Linked DNA regions of Rhinolophus ferrumequinum. The protein of the gene in region 2 purifies or fractionates together with the protein of the main gene of each other region. This does not show direct contact. Links are inferred from orthologs where the notes say so. Each region holds a gene or a part of one and is shown on either strand. Other genes may lie near its edges.

Region 1 (7,403 bases), on a different chromosome or scaffold from region 2:
TACCTTGAGGTCTGAGGCTTACTGGTTGGGCATACACATTAATGTTTTAAAAGATTATTTTAATTCTGCTGAATTAAAGTTCTGAATAAGGAATGAGAAAGAAAAAAGAATAATGGTTAAGCCCCTAGTATTTATGAATTTTACATGTGTGATTTCAGTCGTGTGAACTCTATTACAATAATAGCTATCACTTTTCACTGTATATTGTATGTGAGGCCCTATGCTAGGGAATTTACATTTCTTCTCTCATTTAATCTCATAGTGACTTTATAAGGTAAATATTATTCTCATATTAAAAATGAGAGACTTGCAGCAGAAAAAGGTTAAGCCATTTGTCCAAGATGTTCCCATTTGGAAAAGTGTAGAGTGGGGAAGATAATTTAGGTTTAACTAATTATAAATGTCATGTCCTTTCTAGCTATTTTTTCAGAATTTTTTTTTCAAATTTAAAAACATTTTGCTGTAGTGTTTGTGAATGCTCATCGAGAGAGTCTTCTGGGATTCCTGAAATGTTTCATGATCTGGGCGGTGGTTATATGTAAGGATTCATTCAGTTTGTGAACGTTCACTGAGGTGTTCACTTATCACTTGTGAGATTTTCTCTGTTATATGTGATAAAATGTTCTTTAAAAAGTACTTCATGCTGAATACAGAAAATGTGAAAGACATAAGCACAAAGGGGGAAAAATTCACAGGTCTTTTGTGGTTCCATATAAATTTTAGGTTTGTTCTATTTCTATGAAAAATGTCATTGGTATTTTGACAGGGATTACATTGAATCTGTAGATTGCTTTGGGTAATGTGCACATTTTAACAATATTAAGTCTCCAAATCCATGAGCATGGAGTATTTTTCCACTTATTTGTGTCTTCTTCAATTTCTTTCCGTAATATCTTATAGTTTTTGGTATACCACTCTTTCACCTTGGTTAAATTTACCTGTATTTTATTACTTTTGACGCAATTGCAAATGGGATTGTTTTCTTCATTTCTTTCTGATAGTTCATTGTTAGTGTACACAATGATAGTTCATTGCTAGTGTAAACACAACAGATTTTTGTGTATTCATTTTGTATCCTGCAAATTACTGAATTCATTTATTACTTCTAATAGTTTTTTGAAGGAATGTTTATGGTTTTTTGTTTATATCATATCATCTGCAAATAGGGACAGTTGTACTTCTTCCTTTCCAGCTTGGAGGACTTTCAATTCTTTTACTTTCCTAATTGCTCTGGCTAGGACTTCCAATACCATATTGAATAAAAGTGGCAACAATGGATATTCTTCTCTTGTTCCCGATCTTAGAGGAAAAGCTTTCAGCTTCTCACTGTAGGGAATGATGTTCATTGTGGGCTTGTTATATATGGCCTTCGTTATATTGAAGTGTTTCATTTATGCCCACTTTGTTATCATAAATCGATGTTGAATTTTGTCAAATGCTTCTTTTGCATCTATTAAGATGATCATGATTTTTATCCTTCATTTTGTTAATGTTACGTATCACATTGACTGATTTATTGATACTGAACCAGCCTTGCCTCCCTGGAATAAATCCCACTTAATAATGGTGTTTGATCCTTTTTTTTTTTTTTTTTTTAAAGATTTTATTGGGGAAGGAGAACAGGATTTTATTGGGGAACAGTGTGTATTTCCAGGACTTTTTCCAAGTCAAGTTGTTGTCCTTTCAATCTTAGTTGTGCAGGGCACAGCTCAGCTCCAGGTCCAGTTGCCGTTGCTAGTTGCAGGGGGCGCAGCCCACCATCCCTTGTGGGAGTCAAGGAATCGAACCTACAACCTTGTGGTTGAGAGCCCACTGGCCCATGTGGGAATTGAACCGTCAGCCTTCGGCATTAGGAGCACGGAGCTCCAACCGCCTGAGCCACCGGGCCGGCCCCCTGTTTGATCCTTTTAATGTATCGTTTTATTTGCTTTGCTAATAGTTTGTTGAGGATTTTTGCATCTGTGTTCATCAGGGATATTAGCCTAATATTCTTTTCTTGTGGTAACCTTAACTAGTATTGGAATCAGGGTAATGCTGCCCTTATAAAATGAGTTTGGAAAAGTTCCTTCCATTTCTATTTTTTGGAAGAGTTTGAGAATTACTGGTATTAATTCTTCTTTGGATGTTTGGTAGAATTCACCTGTGAAGCCATCTGGTCCTTGACTTTTGTTTGTTGGGAGGCATTTGATTACTGATTCAAGCTCTCTATTAGTTTTTGGTCTATTCAGCTTCTCTGTTTCTTCATGATTCTGTCTTGGTAGGTTGTATGTTTCTAGAAACTTATCCATTTCTTCTAGGTTGTACAATTTGACCTATAATTGTTCATAGTAGTCTCTTGATCCTTTCTATTTCTGTGGTAACAGTTGTAATATCTCCTTTCATTTCTGATTTTATTTGAGTTCTCTTTTTTTTCTTGGTGAGGCTAGCTAAAGGACTTATGGGTTCTTAAACCATTAAATTTAATTATGTTTACTAGTGTTAGGAATTTAAAGGAATCGTCAGATATGTATTCTATTAGAGAAAAACAACTTTTAACATTCAAAACTTCTAAGATTACTTAAATCCTTCAAATAAAAAAAATATACCATTGTTGCATTATTGCTCCCTTGATACTCTGATAGGTCTGATAAGTAAGAGAGAAAGCAGCATGTTAAAGGAAAGATCAATGAACTAGCAGTCAGGAATTCTGGTTTCTAGTTTTGGCTGTGCCACTTGCTCAAAGCCTGATTGTGGACAAGTCTCAACTTCTTTGGACTTCAGTTTCTTCAACTGTAAAATGAGAGGATTGGGCAGTATCTCAAAGGCCACTTACAGCCAAAATAATTTATGACACTGGTGATTTGGCCAGGCTTGGATCAAATTTTTATTACAATAAAGAATGAATAAAGCACAAACATTCAACAAGTGGGAGAACAAAACTTGCCATCTTGATTTGCAACTAGAGCAGATACAATGTGTTTCCTGTTCTTTCCACAAGTAGTCATGGAAAGGGAGGTGGGAAGAGGACAGGGACAGGGGCAGGATATCCTTCCCTGGCATGTCACTCACCAGCCTATATAATTTTTTCATGGCCACTGGGTCTGATATCCCAGAAGTCCATCCCACAAAACTAAAAAATTACAAATAAATTATTTTGGAGAGAGAATGAGTCCTTAATTTTATTTGCTATATTTTTTTTCAAGCGAGTTCCTTGCATTGGGTGAATTTATATAGTGACATAATTTCAGGGACTTCAGGGAAAGATAATATTTACAGAGAAACACCTTCAAGAACTTTAGTGTGCCTTTGGTAGGCTAATACTGTTGCTAGTTTGTAGGTGAACGGTGGACGAAACTGGAAACTGGACAAGTGAAAAGAGAGAAATGCCCGGAGACCTAAAACATTTCTAGGGAGCAGAAAGGGACTTTGTTCTTTCGAGTAGTATAGCTTTAAGTCACTGTGAGATTGATTATATACTTGCCAACCTCCCTTTGATGACAGGAACTGTGTCACTTATCTTTATATCCCTAGCGACAGATATAACCGACAATTAAGTATTTGTTGAATTGACTTGAGCAAAAACTGCGCGGGCATAAGGTAGGGAAAAAGAGACCAGAATAACATCACCTTGGATATCTGAAACTTTTTAAAAGATTTACTGCAAGATTAACTACAAAGGGAAAGGGACTTCAACGGAGCACTTTTTCAGATGAGATGTCAACCAACCAGAACAGGAAAGAGAGGTCATGAGAGTTCCTTGAAAACTGATCAGGCAACAGGTTTGAACCCCCAACTGAAAAAGAGGAGCGACAGCGATACGCAGATTGGCAGAACTGAGGAGTGTCTAGGGTCAGAGAAAAACCAAAGTCAGAGCCCAAGGGAGAGGCTGAAGAAACTCCGTCCACGGGCCGGCCCAGAGAAGCTTGCTTTGAGCTTGTTTCTTAACAGAACTATCAGCAAGCCCTAAAAGATGTGCAGTACGGGCTGATATTTCAGCCTGATAACTTCCGTGTGTGTGTGTGTGTGTTGGCCTAACTTCCGTGTGTGCGTGTGTGTGCCTGTGTGTGCAACAAGGAGCGCCACCCGTGAACTTCCGCGTGCGACGGACCCCGAAGTGTCGCCCTGCCGCGCCCCGTCCTGCCCCACCTGTGAGGAAACCTGCACTCGCGGAGGGGCGGGTCCCCACCGCCGCGGGCAGGGGCGGGGCCGCGGCGCGTCGGAGCCTTCCGCAGCCCCACAGGCCGCCTCAGCCACGCTCGCCGTCGCCCCGCCCCGCGACTACATTTCCCAGCAGGCCGCAGGGCGCCCGCGCGCCGCAGTTGACCCATTTCCCGGCCCGTCCCGGGCTCGGCCGGCCCCCGCGCCCAGGCGGCTGCTCCCTGCTGACTGGGGTGTGGGCGGGGAGCGGCGGAGGGAGGAGGAGGCGCTGCTGGCCGCCGCCGTTGCCTCCGCTGCTGGGCGCCTGGGCAGCACCCCAGGTTTCCGCGGCCGCCATGGACGAGCAAGCGGGTCCCGGAGTCTTCTTCAGCAACAACCATCCGGGCGCCGGCGGTGCCAAGGGTCTCGGGCCTCTGGCGGAGGCTGCAGCGGCCGGCGACGGGGCGGCTGCGGCAGGGGCGGCCCGAGCCCAGTACAGCTTACCCGGGATCCTGCATTTCCTCCAGCATGAGTGGGCCCGCTTCGAGGTGGAGAGAGCCCAGTGGGAGGTGGAGCGGGCGGAGCTGCAGGTAAAGACCCTCCCGGCCTGGCCCTTTTTATCCCGCCTCTTTGCTCTCTTCCGCCCCGCCCCGGACCCTTTCCCCTCCCCCCTCTGCCCTCGCTGGTCCACTCCCCTTTGCTCCTGCCCATCCTACCCAGAACTGTCCCCTTCCCCCTTCACCTTTGCTTTAGGCTGACCCCACTTCCTTGACTCGGGTTCCCATTCCCGCCCTGACGCGTTGTTTACCCTCCCCGCTCCTTTTCTTCTACTCCTTCCTTCTCCTAACTCTCTCATTTCAACTCTTGCCATCCCTCATTTTAGGTCTTCTCTCTGAGTATACTAATTGGGCTGACAGTAGTTTTGAAAGATGTCGAGCAAATCATCCTGTCCCAGTGAGTCCCATCTTAGGTCTAGAGACGTTCCCCGCCGTAGGTATTGGCAGTTGGCTCCTCTCTGAGAGGAAGGTGATCAAAGAAGACATCAGAAGTTGTGTCTGTGAGGCCTTGACTTAGGCAAGAAGCTGACGTAGGGCAGAAGTGTAACTAGGAATATCAGCTCCCTTCTTACATATGTGAGTGTTTTTTCTCTTTCCCTCTCCCTCTCCCTGCTGCCACTTTTCCTTTAGGTATTTCAGATTCGTGGATTTTAAAATGAAGAACCTAGATAATCGCAATCAGATGATGGTTCAGAGATGGTTTCCTGTTCTTAGAATCAAAAACTTCCCAAGGATTAATTTTATGTTCAGTGTTTTGTGAAATTGACGTTCACTTCAAAAGGAACTAAAAGGGGCTTTAAAGTTGGTTACATTTCCTTGTATAATCTGCAAGGTAAAAGTATATCCAGGGAGGACCTATTGTGGGCTCTTAGAAGAATGAAAGTGAGGCTGATACTTTACGGGCCATTCTGAATTGGTAAATAGGTTTCAGTGGCTGTTCTTACAACTTCCAAGCCATGCACCAATTTCACAGGGAACCTAACTATGCGTAGCTGTGCCTTTCTGTTTTACTGGCTAATCCTGTATGCTGATGAAATCTGAATATACGTTGTTTTGGTTGGTGAAACACTTGTAGTTAAAATGCTACCCAGTGTTTGTTACTCTTTTTTTGGTAACATGTATTTTCCTTGGCACTTAAAAAAATGAAAAGGAGAAATCTGTTAAATAGAATCTGCTGGAACAGGATGCTTTGATACAGTGCAAGTGGCAATGGAAAGAGCAAGGGGACAGGTTATAGTAGACAGGGTTATAGTATGGACTGTGCTTGCTGCTAGCTCTGTGACCTTGAGGAAATCCTTTAACCTCTCTGAACTTCAGTTTCTTCATTCAGTTGCCATAGTGGCAACTGCTTTGAGAAAGATAATTCAGGATACAGGAATAAAGTGTGATAGGGGCAGCTATTTTAGAGGGGGTGGTCAGGGAAGGCCTCTGGGAGGAGTGGAAGGAAGTGAAGAAGTGACCCACAATTTCTAAGATTCCTTCTGATTCCTTTAGTTCTGCAGTTGTATGTTTATATTTGGTGGCTTTTTCATCCCTACTATTATGTTGCTTTTGTATCTGGTCTTTTGATAATTTGTAATTTTTCTTGTAGTGAATCTGACCGTGTCAGTATAGTAACCAGCAGACTTAAATGCTTCATTCAAATATTGGTAATTCACCTTTGTTAGAAGTGCATTCCATAAATGAACTTGTGGATTTCAGACTTAAAGGAAGTGTTAAAGGCAGGTGTTAATTTTAACATTGTTCAGTTGTTGAACACACACACACCACTTACGGGGTTATTTATGGCAAATGTTAAACTTAAGGTAGGTTTCCCATTGGTACTCATCATATTAAGGACACTACATTTCTACAGTATTTTTTGGTTTTGGGTTTGTGCTCAAATTAAGCATCCACAGAGGAACTTTAAAAAATACATCCTATTTTCCAAACAGAGCAAGTATTATGTCTTTTAGAGGGGGAGAGAGTTTGCAGAAATCTATGGTTTTGATCCCCGTATTAGCATTATTGAAACTATATTTTAAAAATAATTTCTTTACATTGACATCGTTAAATTTGAACATATTCCTTCATTTTTCTTTTGCGATTGGAATTTTCCTGGAAAAACAATAGGAAGTAAGAGTTGAATGAGTGATGATGAAATTTGGATCAGTTGGTGTCCTTTTTTTAAATTTAAAATCTCTTCTCAAGTCATTAACATCAAAGTCAACAAAAATACCTTTAAGATTAAGTCTAATGTGTCCCTTCAGGAACCTGTCAGTCCTGCTTTTTCAGGTTGCCAGGTCAGAATTGTGAAAGACAATCCACGCTCTCAGCTATCTACCTGGTCTGCCTTCATCACTTCCTCCTTCAGATCTTGGGAATAAGGAACTGGCCACATTATACCAAAACTTATTTGTCATTTCTTCCCCTTTGCCCATCTTAGTTAATAAGACTCTCTTTTTACTTTTCATAATCCCCCTCCTCCCTAACCACCACCATTGCAGGTGAGAGTAGGTGGTCAAAGAATGGTCAAGATTATTGCTGAGGTTTATATTTGTGAAAAAACTTGGAGATGGGATACATAAAATTCGAGAGAATTTTCTGTGTGTGCTACAATGGGCTAGATGACCTCAAAGAAACATGCAGTCTAGTTGGAGTGATAGAACAAACAAAATGCATAAGAATCGGAGTATTTATTATTTGGGGGGTTTAAATTTTCTTAGACTAGCACAAGAGAGCAGCTAGCAG
Region 2 (7,018 bases):
TAAGACTTGATCATTATCAAAATGTTGAGCATCCTCTATAGGAAGAGCCGTGCTGATAATAAAAAAAATTGTTAGAGAGCCATAATTTCAAATATTTTGTCCTAAAGCAACAAAATCCCAGAAACTCCAATACTTAGAACAGTACAAACTGCACATCCTATAATACCTCTATAACCAAAAATACTTTGTCAGACCGCATATGCATACTTTCAGTACTGAATATATGGTCTCCATAGATACAGGATTTAGGGTTCATATCATTTCTCAGAGGTCTTAAAACCTGAATTGGGAAGCAGAATAAAGATATAAAGAGAGAAACTGAAATCCAGGGTAGCATCTGCTAAGGAAAAACCAAAAACAACAAAAGACAAAAGAGTCCCACACGAGCGAGCAGTGAATGGATCCACTGGGGTTGGTTCAAGTAGTCAAAAAGGCTTCTAAAGAGACAGGAATCAACTGGGCCCAGAGTAAAGAATATCCATGAAAACAAGCGGAAGAGGGTTTCAAACAGAAAGAATGGCGTAAAAAAAGGCCAAAAGGAGGCACTTCACAGGAACAACAAACAAGTTAGTTTGGCTAAAACTAAGGATGCACAAGGGAAGAAATAAGAGTTGAGTCTGAAGACTGGATCGGGGCAGCTTACAGACAAACTTGAACACCACACCAAGGAACTTCAACTTTGCATGTAATAAGCAGTGTTCTGCAAGTTTTTATGTTGTGATGTGAGGATGTGAGAGTGTTAAAATGTGCACGATCTTATTTACCAAAGCCCAAGCAGAGCACAAATATTCCAAACGAAACGCCACATCAGTGAGAGAAAACATGTTCAAAGCCCAAGTACAAGAACTTATTATTGGGGGACGAGGGACATGAGCAGCAGTCCTCAAAAAGTAACAGTGAACCAAGTTAAATACAAAGTTACAGTGGTCTACTTTTGCAACTCCCACTTAAAGTTTCCATTTATTATAAAAGCAATGTAAGTATAAAGCATGTTGAACAGCTCTCACTGTATCAATCACGGGGGGGGGGGGCAATTTACCTCAAATATTGTACAACTAGATTGTGAATTCCAAATCTATATTAATCCTCAGACTTTTAAATGTGTATGCCATAACCCTTATCAGTGTACAGAGCTGGATCAAGGCCATAAGCTTAAAATTTACCATCAGGAATGACGTCATACTAACCCAAGCACATTTTGAGAGTAAATAAATGGGTGTCCCAATGCTCCCAGTGATAAAAGGTGTTGAAACATCAACAGAAACAGAAATCCCTGACAGTCAAATAATATCCTCCCCAAAGATTAAAGTGTCTCATTACTATCCTCTTAGTCTCCATAATAGCCCAATAAAAACAATGTTATGAAATTTTAGTACAAGGTGACTGCATATATTGTCATAAGATCCAAAAATCAGTGGGGAACAGGGGTCTCCATTTCTTTATAATTACCTCATATAATTGATAATAATAATAATAATAATCAGGAAGAGATCCAGCTTTATTTTTCACAGTTTAGGTGACTTTCCCAAGGCCCCTGGCATAAGCCAAGATCAAAATTCCTTATGGTTCCCCCTGCCTTATAGTTTGCACACTGAGTCATCCATGTTTGATCCAAACAGGGGTACCCTTAGGGTCGCCCAAGTGATAAAGAAGTCAGCTAAAAAGAGATCACTAACAGAAGAACCACTCATTATATAACATATCCAAGAGCTAAAGATTTCTCTTCGATTGTGTTCCTAAAACGATAGTTTTGTACATTAAATTTACTGACACCATCGATTTTACTTTGAGCAGACAGACCAAAATATTGGGTAGAGGGGACGGCGTGTGACCTGATAGTCTACCAAGTTATGGAAAAGGGAAATCAACTGACTGAAATTTCAAAATTCTCAACAAGACAGTTTCAAAACACCAGTGTATCTCGCAGATCAAGGGCCGGTTCAAACTTCCAGGCTGAACCTAAACTGCCTGTCCCTTGTGCTTAATGCAAGTATTCATTACAGTCCTTTTGTCTGGGAAACGACCCACACATCAAGCCACGGTAGAGAAGAGAAAATAACAGGTACTTGTACGGAACAATCATTATTGGGAGCGAGACGGTCGTCAATCTTCGCACTAGTTGCAGCCCCTCCAGCCCACCCGTCCCCCACCCCACACACCTTTATTTTCTTAAGACAGAAATGGCAGCAACTGAGGCTACCACGGGAGGGGAGGGGAGGAACCGGCCAAGAGACCGAAATACAAGTTTGGAGACCAGCACCAACTTGTGGCGATGGACCCAAGTATTCTAGGGCCTGCTACAGAGTGGGAGCGAAACCCCACTCACGCCCCCTCCCCCCGTAGGTGGCAGGAAAAGATGGGGGAGGGGGAGAATCTGGCGGAAGAGAGGTGGCAGGGCAGGCAGGGAGTCCAGCCGCAGGAGATCCATGGTCGGTAAACAAGCCGGGCGGACCCACCCTCCCACAGCCTGGGGCCTGTTCCCGCACCCGCACTGGGAAAGCCCAAGATGAAAGCACGGCGGTAGCAGATCGTGGCCCCTTCCCGGCCCTGGCCTCCTCTAGCCTACGACACCGCCCCGGGGGTCGCGAGGGGGCGGCCCAGGACACCCGGGCGCCACCAGGAGCGAGGGGCCCGGCAGGCCGCCATGGGGGCCGCCAGGGGCCTACGGCGAGGCGCCCACCCGGGCCCGATTACCTGGCGGTGGCGGCGGCTCCTCCTCCAGCTCCTGCTCCTCCTCCCAGTCCGATGCTCGGCGTCCGGCGGCAGCGGCGACTCCCCGAGCAGCCCGCGGCGAAGAGCCGAGCCGGGCCCCTCTCCGCCTCCCTCCGTGCCGCCTCCGCCCTCCCCCCTCAGTCAGGACATGGTCTCCGTGGGCCGCGCACGGCTCCCGACTGCCGGAGACCGGGGCAGAGGGGCAGAGAGCAGGCGCGGAGGCGAGGGGGCCCCGAGGGGGAGGGGGAGCAGAGGAAGGGGGCGTCCTCGGGCGCTGCGGGCTCCTAATGGCGGCGGTGAGGGGCTCTGGAGCCAAATAAACTCCACAGCGAGCAGCACAACGTCAAGGCCGGACTCCACCGCTCGCCGCCCTATCATTGGCCCGGAGGCCGCCAGCGGCGCAGCCAATGGGCGGCCGCTTCTTTCCCGGAGCAGTAGGCGGGCCGCGGAAAGGTGACGTCAGGCCGGCGCCCGGCCCTGATTGTGAGGCGGCGGCGATCCTGGGCTGTGGACCCTCGGCCGCCTGCGGGGGACGCTGGGAGGTGACAGGGCGGCCCTGCGTGCACGGGCTGGAGGAACGCGCACGGCGCGGCCCGGAGGGCGTTCTCGCGCGGCGGTCCGACTCGCTTTGCCTCCTCTGCAACAGACGCGCCAGACTAATAAACCAACCCCCGAGTCTCGCCTCCCAAGGGGCCACTTATGGCAGATTCTGCTTCAGCTTTTCTTATAGATTCAATCTCTTTATAAGGCAGCAGGGAAGATAAATGTTTCAGTTGATTGTGGTAGTTTTTTATGTCCGTTTTTTACCCTCGAGTTGGTGTGGATGTGTATTTATAACATATATTACACGTGTACGTACGTATATGCATGATGAAAAGCCATGGAGTGATATGCCAATTCTCTCAAAATAATTATTTTTTAAAAGAAAAGCTCTTTCTTTTCTACTTCTAGCTCTGCTTTTCGGTAAACTCAATTTTCTCCTGGTTGTCTTTTCTGTAACGGGAGATGGTTACATTTTATGTAAATTTAAGGCAGAGAATAAATTACAGCCATGGAAAAAATACTGCAGGGAGAGTTCCCAGAGCCCAAGTTATAAAGATAATATGTTAAATGGTGATGTATTTTGTGCATTTCCTTTATTTCTGTAAATACAGTCAAAGAGTCTTAAGTCATTTAGCCATTTGTTAAAAACCCCAGAAGTGTGTTAATTTTTCCAGCCGGAGAGCTTTGCCTTGCATTTTCCATACTTCAAATTTTATTTCAAGAATTTGAAAGACCATAAAACAGCAACTCTTTAAAACTTCTAATCCTCTTTAAAAGTTATCTATTGAAGAATTATAGTGCTCTCATAGGGCATTTAGCAGTTGTGCTGGACCCCTCAATTTAAATAGAAAGAATGTGTAACTCACTTTAACTGGATTTTTAAAATTTGGAGGGAGACTGTAAGTAAAACTATTCATGGTACTAGTCTGAGTCTCTTTGCATAAATATGGCACAAGAGTGTAGAGCTTCCCTACGGGCACTGAAGAATAATACCTTATACTGCTTTCTCTCACCAGCCACCTCTTCCATAATCACCGGTATATTTCATCCTCACAGCCATTCCTGTGATAGATTTTCAATAATCCCCATCTTCCCGGAGCAATGTTATTATTTGCTCAAGGACTCCTCAATGAATTGTTTATTTATTTTAAACTGCAACAGTTTAAACTGCAACAGTCATTTGCCTACAAAACTTCGTACACATTCTCAGACACATAACACAATTGTAGATAAAACGAAACACCCACGTTATTACGTAAGAACCATGGTTCAACCAACATTTCACTTTGAAAGTATTTTCAGAGCTTCTGAGCACCTCAGCTTCCCCTTCCTAAACCTCAGCTACAAAGCATCTCACCCACAAATTAACAAGAACTGTAGAATTAGGTGTTTTTGTTTAGTTTCAGTTGCAGTTTATTTTGTTAAGGGAAGGGGATATTATTTGAATAAGGCTTATTAACTCTTCATTCAATTTAACAAACCTAAAGTAAGTACCATGTGCCAAGGAACAAGAAACACACACAGATGAGTAAGATATTCTGTGTTTGAGGAACCTGCAGCCGAGGAAACAGGGCAAGACAAAAATAACCATAATTATAACATGAGGTAGAATGTGCTAAGTCAATTCAAATGAAAATTATCTTGTAATTGAAAGGAAGGGCAAATCCCAAAATGACTCTGTTAAAGCTGAAGACACTTGATACAGGTCCAGTGGTTCTCGGCCATGGCTACACATTAGAATTAGCAGAGGAGCTTTTTTCAAAATACCCATATCTGGGCCCCACCCCAGACCTACTGAAACAATCCCCAAGAGATCCTGGGCCTGGCTATGCTTGAAACACATTCCCCAGGTGACTAATATGCAGCCAAGAACTGACAGAGTCCCACCCCCGAGTTTACAAATGTGGAAACTAATGCCTAGAGATTTTAAATGACTTATCAAAAGCCAGATCATCTAGGTTTGGAATTAGAAAACAAAGCTCTTGATTTCCCAAATCTTGTTTCCATTGCACCATATTTGAGTTAAAAATATGTCAACAAGTACAGCAGATAGCGTTGTCAGTTAAGGAACTGATTTGTGCTATTTAGCGCAGAGATTAAATTGTCATTCTCCTTATACATGTTTCTGAGAAATATTTGAGTTCTGAGAAATATTTCACTTGGGAAAATAGTTTGTTTTTTTTTTTTAATTTCTTTTTCTTAGAACCCTTGTACTAAATTGTAAGGACAGTATAATTACATTGACAATTAATTTGTTTTGGCTTTTATTTCAAGTGTTTCCCAAACTACTTGTATAAGATATAATTCCATTTTATTTTTTTTCTGCCTTATTGCGTAGGTCTTGAATGCCAAATTGTGGATCTGTACTTAATTCATTACAAGTAGAGCTAAAAAATATTACTAGGTTTTGAGCAGGAAAGTGCAAGAGATATACCTTAACCTAGAATGTCTGTGAGACAAACTAGGGTAGAATTAGAAACAGGGACAGAGAAACCCATTAAAAGAGACAAAACCTAAAACCAAAGTAGCTGTGGGAAAGGAAAGGAGAGGACAGTAGTGAAATAAGGTGACAGTAGAATATTCTGAGTTTGCCAGTGTCTGAATCTGGGGCCGAAGAAAGACTCAAAAGTCAGAGAACCCTGAATGATAGTGGTGTGATTAACAATGGGAAAACCAAAAGAGGAACTAGATAAGAGAAGATACTGACTACTGGATCAGGTGTGTGGCTATCCTGGGCTCAGGAGGAAATGTGCAGCAAGCAAGGGAAATGCTGGTCTGAAATTTGATAGTCTGGAACTGGAGATAAACTTCAGGGAGTTTTACATAGAGGTTACCATTGAAGCCACAGGAGCGGGAAAGAAAAAGAAAAGCTACCTAAGGAGGAGAAAACAATTGTCAAAAAGAGAGGAGATAAAAAAGGTGTTCTGGAAGCCCAGGGAGTGGTGAGCCTAAAGAACATGGTAATAAACACTGTCAGATTCTACAGCCTCAGAAATCAGAACAGAAAAAAAGTCACTGGGTTTTACAAACAAGAGACCTTCTAGAGAACAGTTCTCAGTAGGATGGTGGGGAGAAAAGCCAGATTTCAAAAGCTGAAGACCTGTGTGGGCAATGAAGCGGTGATTACAGACTACCAGTCCAAGACATCCGGCAAGGAAAGGAGGCAGGAGATACAAGAATAGACACAGGGGGTGACAAGAATGAGGGAAAGGTATTTTTTGTTTTTGTTTGTTTGTTTGTTTTTTTAAGAATGGGCATATCTGAACACTTTTGTAAACAGAAGAGAAGGTGGAGAGGGGGGAAAAAGATTGAAATCCAAAAGGGAGGACACCCAGCACACAGTGATTTGTCTTGGCAAGCATGAGGGCCCTTTCTTCCTCAAAAATAAGAGCAAAGAGGGGCGGCCAGATGGCTCAGTTGTTCAGAGCACAAGCTCTGAACAACAGGGTTGCCAACTCGATTCCCACGTGGGCCAGTGATCTGCGCCCTCCACAACTAGATTGAAGACAACAAGCTGCCACTGAGCTTCCAGAGGAGCAGTCGGATGGCTCAGTTGGTTAGAGCGCAGAGCTCTCAACAAGGTTGCCGGTTCAATTCCCGCACAGGATACTGGGCTGCGCCCCCTGCAATTAAAGATTGTAAATGGCAACTGGACTTGGAGCTGAGCTGTGCCCTCCACAACTAGACTGAAGGACAACTACTTGGAGCTGATGGGCCCTGGAGAAACACACTGTCCCCCAATGTTCCCAATAAAATTTATAAA

The links.
Region 1: the proteins of ZRANB1 (region 2) and STRN purify together in Homo sapiens (affinity purification with mass spectrometry; 4 studies listed by BioGRID and IntAct, with this or other methods). This does not show direct contact. The link is inferred for Rhinolophus ferrumequinum from reciprocal best matches to the Homo sapiens genes ZRANB1 and STRN.

Annotation. Positions count from the first base shown.
Region 1 is NC_046296.1:46,312,694-46,320,096, forward strand, and holds the start of STRN (striatin), read left to right. Parts: upstream 1-4,328; 5' UTR 4,329-4,472; coding exon 4,473-4,706; intron 4,707-7,403. UniProt on the Homo sapiens protein: Calmodulin-binding scaffolding protein which is the center of the striatin-interacting phosphatase and kinase (STRIPAK) complexes.
Region 2 is NC_046299.1:6,009,286-6,016,303, forward strand, and holds the start of ZRANB1 (ubiquitin thioesterase ZRANB1), read right to left. Parts: upstream 3,084-7,018; 5' UTR 2,695-3,083; intron 1-2,694. UniProt on the Homo sapiens protein: Ubiquitin thioesterase, which specifically hydrolyzes 'Lys-29'-linked and 'Lys-33'-linked diubiquitin. Also cleaves 'Lys-63'-linked chains, but with 40-fold less efficiency compared to 'Lys-29'-linked ones.